Linked DNA regions of Astyanax mexicanus. The protein of the gene in region 1 interacts with the protein of each later gene in a pairwise test. Links are inferred from orthologs where the notes say so. Each region holds a gene or a part of one and is shown on either strand. Other genes may lie near its edges.

What was found.
Region 2: the proteins of cdc42ep2 (region 1) and rho GTPase-activating protein 26 interact in binary tests that used the Homo sapiens proteins (3 or more experiments, as listed by UniProt). The two-hybrid records come from large-scale screens. The link is inferred for Astyanax mexicanus from reciprocal best matches to the Homo sapiens genes CDC42EP2 and ARHGAP26.

The regions. Positions count from the first base shown.
Region 1 is NC_064408.1:32,557,220-32,560,969, reverse strand, and holds the start of cdc42ep2 (cdc42 effector protein 2), read right to left. Parts: upstream 2,526-3,750; 5' UTR 2,212-2,525; intron 1-2,211. UniProt on the Homo sapiens protein: Probably involved in the organization of the actin cytoskeleton. May act downstream of CDC42 to induce actin filament assembly leading to cell shape changes. Induces pseudopodia formation in fibroblasts in a CDC42-dependent manner.
Region 2 is NC_064424.1:20,704,609-20,708,358, reverse strand, and holds the start of rho GTPase-activating protein 26, read right to left. Parts: upstream 2,890-3,750; 5' UTR 2,423-2,889; coding exon 2,269-2,422; intron 1-2,268. UniProt on the Homo sapiens protein: GTPase-activating protein for RHOA and CDC42. Facilitates mitochondrial quality control by promoting Parkin-mediated recruitment of autophagosomes to damaged mitochondria.

The DNA.
Region 1 (3,750 bases):
CTCTATAATCATCAGTGTAAGATCTAAGTAAAAAATGAATGCAACACTAAAACTTGTGACATTGCAGAACCATGTGACGCAATTAAAGATAAAGGCAGCCCAACAAAATATTAGAGTGTTTGACCTTTTTTTTGGGCCAGACTGTACGTATGTTGTATCTTCATGAATTCAACTGCATAAACACAGCTTGTACAATAGCTTTAAAAGAAAGGTTCTTCTAAACCAAAATGTTTACCACACCTTAAGCCAAGGATTGGCTAGACACGTACAAGTCTACAAGTGTACTTAGCAAGTGGAACTAAATTGTACACTTGTGCAAGTGGTGGCAATCTGTCAAACTCTTCTGAGATGAGGTGACCAATCAGTACTGATGTTAGATAATTAGTTTTGCAGTTCTCCAACTCATCTCAAAAGTATTGGATGGAGCTCAAGAGATCACAGTTTCACTGCTTCACAGTGCAAAACTGGAGAGGCTTTATACCATGCTATCCAATGCTTGGTTTCAGCCATTAAAGCTTAGCTGAATGCAATCAAATTATCATAGCAAAGTTCCACTGTACAACCTTTCCAAAGGAGCAGAGGCTGTTCCTGCAGAAAAGGTGGGAAAAATCCCTGGTAATGTCCTAATGATTTCAGAGAACCATTACGTAAGCAGGGGTCTACACTGGCCTTTAAAGGCAGCTTGGGGAGAGGAAATGCACAACACAGTGGATATCTGTCATAATCCCTCTCCACATCTAATTTCCTGCACATTTATCATCAATCAAACACAACGAGCCTCCACCCAACTACAAGAAAACAACAGTGCAGTTTTTCCAAGGTAGTTAAAACGGAAATTACAAAAACATACTACATTTCACACTGAAGGACACAATTCACTTACAGAAAACTGTAGACTATAACTGTCAAACAGCAGTTTTAGTTAAATAGAGAAAAAAATTTTTTAAATAATAACCACCTTATTACAACTTTATTATTCGTATCTTCAAACTGCAACTTTAAGCTATACAGCTCTGGAAAAAATAAGAGAACAATTCAGTTTCTGAATCAGTTTCTATGATGTTGCTATTTATAGGTTTATGTTTGAGTAAAATTAACATTGTGAAAACAAGTTCAAATTCATTAAAGTTTTAAGAGTTCAGGAACCAATATTTGGTGGAATAACCATGATTGTTAATCACAGTTTTCATGCATCTTGGCATGTTCTCCTCCACCACTCTTACATACTGCTTTTGGTGCACTCCTGATGCATGAATTCAAGCAGTTTAGCTTGGTTCAATGGCTTGTGATCATCCATCTTCCTCTTGATTATATTCCAGAGGTTTTCAATTTGGGAAAATCAAAGAAGCTCATCATTTTTAAGTGGTCTCTTATTTTTTTCCAGAGCTGTATGTCCAGCACACTGGGAGTTAATGCTCTCTAAAGCAGGTGTTTGCTGCCAATGGGAGCTCAGTAAAAGCCTGTTCTCGAAACAAAAAGCTAACTAAAGCTGTTCTCTATTCAACGGTCAGCACACCCGCAAACAGACGCCAAACAGAGTTACCACGTGATTTTAATGCGGTTCAAATAATGGGTGAATGCGGTAAACCGCTTGGGTTAAAGTGTTCAATAGATATGCTATTCGATATTATGGGCTGTTATTGTTATAGGCTTTTATCCACACAGCTTTGCAACACAGTTAGTTACCGCTGGTCTACTTTCTGAGGTAAACAGAAGATTCTCTATTTTAATATTCCTCACAGTTTTTTTCCACAAACTGCGATTAACACGGACAGGCATTTAAAGCTTTTAAACCTTTTTTTATAGAGCTGGCTCAATATCTCTCAGACAAACAGAACTACTTGTCTGAATGTATTTAATTTAGTTTTACTTTGGCTAACTGTTTTTCTAAATACTCATTTTTAACACGCATTTTACCACAGAAAAAAATATGTTAATTTTTTTAACTGTTTAATGTGTTTTAACTACTTTTACATAGCTAACACAGTAAAATTCAGTATTTTCACTACATTTTTGAAGTATTGATAATACATTTAAAACCAATTTTTAATCAAATCAGCTATGCTAATTTTTCTTAAAAAAAAAAACGATTTGTCTATATTCTTTTAAACTAAGATGTGAAATTGGTCCCACAAACAGAAACCCACAGTTAAACCCACCAGTTAAATTGAAGCCAAATATAAGTGCTGTGTTTTTATTTTTTGAGCTTACCTTTAAGTTCAGTTTCTCACTCAGTTTAAATCCTTTTTATAGAGGTGTTCGTCCTCCCTGAAGAGAGAAATAAGTCCTTGTACTGAACAGGCAGGGAAAGCCTCCTGTCTCCAGGTGCTCTCCAGTCATGAACTGACTCAGTGCAGCGCGAGCTCGTGGTTACTCAGCCTGGCCCCGTGACTCCGCCCTCGGGGGGCGTGGTTGAGTAACCGCGGGTCTGCGAGGGGAGCCCGAGCATCTCCGACTCGTTTCATGGCTAAAAAAGCCAGAATACCCCCTGAACGACCCCCACCGTGTCTGCACCGTCAGTACTCTCTCTCCCGCTTCACGGAAATAACCTCTTCATCCGATACACTGAGCTCTGTTTGCTGATACTGTGAAACCAGAAACGCCCTCCAGAGCACTTTCTCTCTCTCTCTCTCACTCTCTCTCTCTCAACCTTCTCTCTCTCTCTCTGTCCCACTCTCAATCTCCACTCTTTCACTCTCTCTCTCCTCTCTTTCACCCTTTTCTCTCTCTCCTCTTCTTCTTCTCAATCACCCTTTTCTCTCTCATCCTTTTATCTCTCTCTCCTCTCTCTCTCTCACCCTTCTCTCCCTCTCACCCTTCTCTCTCTGTCTCTGACCCTTTTCTCTCTCACCCTTCTCTCTCTCCTCTCTCTCACACCCTTCTCTCTCTCTTACTCACCCTTTCCCTCTCACCCTTCTCTCCCTCTCTCACCCTTCTCTCTCTCTCTCTCTCTCTCTCTCCCCCTTCTCTCTCTGTGCCTCTCACCATTCTCTCTCTCTCTATCTCTCTCCCCCTTCCCTCTCTTTCCTCATTCACCCTTTTCTCTCTCTCGCCCTTCTCTCTCCTCCCTCTCACCCTTCTCTCTCTCCCCCTTCCCTCTCTCTTCCTCTCTCTCTATCTCTCACCCACTTCCCTCTTTCTTAATCTCTCTCTCTCTCTCATTCTCTCTCACAAGTAGTTCTAAATACATACAGTAAAGCCTATTATTAGAATGTAATGAATTTCACACATTTTTCAGTCATTCAGAGTAGTTTGGTGTGAAATCGATTATTATAGAGGTTTCTTACAGTGGTAGTGATAAGGTAAGATAATCCTGTAATAATCAAACAGCATTCACTTTTTTTTACATTATTACAGTTTTGTAACTTAGAGGACAGAACAGAAGTGTCAGAAAATGTACAAACGATATACAAAATAGATATATACAAAGGTACAAGAATATAGAATAAACCACTACTCAGTATGTATGGGTTAGGATACCATATAAACACCACACATTGAAACTAAGAGAAATCAAAATTTTTAAAAAGGGTTGAGTTTGCTAAAATGCCACACTTTTTGGCAAATGAGGTCTAAAAAATATATATTTTATATATTACCAATGATATTTGCATGGGTCTCAAACAATTATTTGTTTAGAAAATGTGAAAAAGTAAAATTGTTTTGGAAGTATGAAAACATTAGTAGGTTCCTTTCTGAATTGGCATTATTTTTATTTGAAAGAGCAGCTAAAACATTGATGGGAAACAT
Region 2 (3,750 bases), on another chromosome or scaffold:
GTGACCCAATTTAAGAAACAAAATGACACAGTTGGCCCATAAAGTTGGTCTTCTGGTTCTAACTTGGGTGTTGCCACATCATGAACCAGCCCCAACGCCTCCACAGCTCCCGCACTACCAATCTTATCTCGCCACCTTTAACGCCAATTGAGATATCGCCGAAAAACTGCAACCCATCTGTGTGAAATTAGAGTAACCACGATTTGAATCTGTGAGCGTAATTATCGTGCTTCAGGGCTGAGCCTGCGGACGGAAGCCTTTTATCCTGAGGTGAAATGACAGGCCGGTCGCGTGTTTACAAGCAAGCCGTAGCTGCCTGTTGGTGTTTACGTTCTCTAAAGTCGTGTCGCTCAATGCCCAGCGCTTGAGCCTCTGCTTAGCTGACAGGAGTGAATGAGCGCTCCAACTTGAATGACATGGCTCAGGAGATGACGGCTCAGTCAGTCATGGGCCTCCACCTCATATAAACAGTGGTAGTCTTCCAGTGGGCCATGTGGTCTCATGCTCCTGTGAAGCATGAGCCTCAATTTCAACACAGGAGTTGCAACAAAACTTCTTGTGAAGTCAGCAGCCCAGGGACTTGCCCAAACAGCAATTTGCGTTTGCAGAAAAAAAGCCTGCCAGCACCACACAACTCAACCTCAGCAGTGAATCCTGTTACACCTCTCTGTAATTTCAAGTCCAAGCAATACTTCAACATAGCTTTGTGACTGAATACCAATAGCCCAGACGGATTTAAACTGATTCATTGTTTTCTGTTTACAACCAACCAACACATGCCTGCTGTGTTTTATATGTGATGTGGATAATGGTAAAATACAGTAAATTCCAAAAAACACAACGCCCTGCATGAACCTGTCTGCTGCAATTGGGTAATCATATAATGTGTAAGCCCTCAACAAGTTTGGGGTTTCCATAACCATGGGATGCAAAAATGCAAGCTCTGATGTAGATGTTAATATGTAAGTAATTAAAAATGCAGTCTAAATCTGCCTTATTATAGAGTTCAAATGAAGGCTGGTTTATACTTATGTGCCGTCAAATCAATGCGTTGTGTATGGCACGTGGCTATGCTTTGGGTATGCATAGGCTACCTCACAGGTCGAAGCAGAAGTATAAATTAGCCTTTTAATAGCATTATTTAAATACCAGTCAAATCTACCTAAGCGAAGATCTGTTGATATTAATATAATCAAATCCAGGACCATCATACATCCTTGTTATGGCTGGAAAACTGACAATATTTTTCTTTTGCAGTATATACAGCTCTGAAAAAAATTACGATACCACCTCAGTTTCTCTGATATTGCAATTTGAGTAAAATGAACATGTTGTTTTATTTTATATACTATGGACAACATTTCTTGCAAATTTCAAATATAAATATTTTCATTTAGAGCATTTATTTGCAGAAAATGAAAAAAGATTTCAGACCTCAAATAACACAAAGAAAACAAGTTTTTAGAAGTGTTCAGAAATCGATATTGGGTGGAATAACCTTGGTTTTTAATCACAGTTTTCATGCATCTTGGCATGTTCTCCTCCACCAGTCTTGCACACTGCTTTTGGATAACTTTATGCCACTCCTGGTGCAAAAATTCAAGCAGTTCAGCTTGGTTTGATGGCTTGTGATCATAAGTTTTCCTCTTAATTACATTCCAGAGGCTTTCAGTTTGGTAAAATCAAAGAAACATTTTAAGCGGTCTTAGAGCTGTATATACTGCAAAACAACAACAATGTCAAACACAATGTCAGGTTTTTCCTGTTATATTGTGCAGCCATAATAGAGTATCTCACTATATATCACTAACTAGCATTGTGCAGACGTAGTGTACAGTAGCTTTGCACACATTTTTGTTTTAGTACTTATTTAACCTAGTTAACAGTGTTATCCCTTTACTCTTCTATATCTACTATTTATTACACAACTAGTGGCCACATGAAAGCACACGAGGAGCTCCTATAATGAGTTACTGAGTTATAACATAAATATAGATAGCAAGATGAGAAAGAGTACATTAATAAAGAAGAGACCAGCTGGATAACTAGATCAAGAGACAGGGGGGTTACCCACATCTGCAGTAGGTAACCTAGATAGGTTACCTAACTAAGTTAGTTAACTAGTACAACAAAGCTGCACGTGCTGCGCTGAATCCATCACATACACGCACACACACACACACACACACAGAGTGCACCCGGGCACAGTAGCTCCAGCCAGGTCATGCGTGTCAGGTTTGAACCCCCAGAGGAAGATGCTGCTCTTACTTTTCAGGGCTTGGATGAGCGCCTTGCCGTCCTTGATGAGCTCCTTGATGAACTTGTTGGTTTTATCCAGCTCCAGCTCGTGAGACTTGAGTCTGTCTCTGAACTGCGGGCTGTCCAGATAGCAGTCGCTGAACTCCAGAGCGGGCAGCCCCATGTTTCCTAAACACACACACAGCGCTTAAAAACGTTAAAAAAGCGTCCAGCGGAGCTTCTAGCTGCTGTCGAGCTGCTGCAGGGAGGCGAAAATCAGACGCGCCGGTGTAAAATCGCCCGTGTTAATCACATAGCTGGCCGCTCTGCTGCAGGAAGGCGGGCTGGGCTACCGGACTGCTTCCAAATAGATAAATAACTGTTAGATAGAGATAACCCTAACGTAAACTAACAACAAAAACAAAACAGCAAAAGAGACCGAACCACATCCCACTGTCTCACTCACTCCACTGGAGCCTGTGCTGTGTGTGTGTGTGTGTGTGGTTTAGGGAGAAGGAGGGGGAGGGAAAGAAAGGTGTGAAAATAAATAAATATAACGTTAACCCAGCTATCTACGTTATCTCCCGCGAGCCCTGCGAAACCTGTGCACCTCTAACGGCAACGTCACGCTGCTGCTCCCGAGGAGGAGGAGGGGGTGGAGGTGGGGGTGGAGGTGGAGGAGGAGGAGACGAAATCCTCGCCTGGGCGTTTTAAACAGCTCAACCCCAGCGGGCCAATCCCAAACCACCTTCACACGCACTACCAAGGGCACTACATAAACGCGTAACCCGCTATTCCTTGTTTAATCGAGGCCATTACGTAGGGAACACATAGCCGTTAGAGACGCGCCCTCCTCCCTCCCATTCCCCCCTTCCGACCTACCGCGAAACGGATAATCCGATGACTGACGGCCCTCTCAGCCTATAGCGTGCCGGGATTCCCGTGCTCAAATCCGATGGGCGCGACGACCACACTTAAACAAATGATTTGATTGGTCGAGAGACGTGACGTATCAACAGAGCGGGGTTTTCGCTTCTCGTTGAAAGGGAAGAGAGAAAACAAGGCCGTCAATTAAAACGGTTTTTTGGTATTTTTATGTGCATAAATAAAATAATGTAAGGTATGTAATTTAATTCATTTAATTAGTCGTTCTAACATGTTAATAAACGCAAAAAAACAAAGAAATATCTATAAAATCTGCAGATTCTTGTTATGCTGGAGAGGTAGGGGGGAAGTGTTACGGGCTATAGGACTCTTTAAAATTAGATTATTTTTCAGGAAAAAAACATAAAGTATTTTCCTTGCTAAAAATAACTATAAACACTATATTACCATTGTTTAATGTGTAGTTTTAATATTATGATTTATGAGAATTTTCTTTATAGCAAGAATTAAATAAATTGACAGTTGTTCATCTTAGTAGCTAGATAACAAACATTTCCATTCCACCTTAAATGGTGCAACAGACAGAAGAAGCTGCATTATTTAAGGTGGAAGGGAAAAATAGAAAAA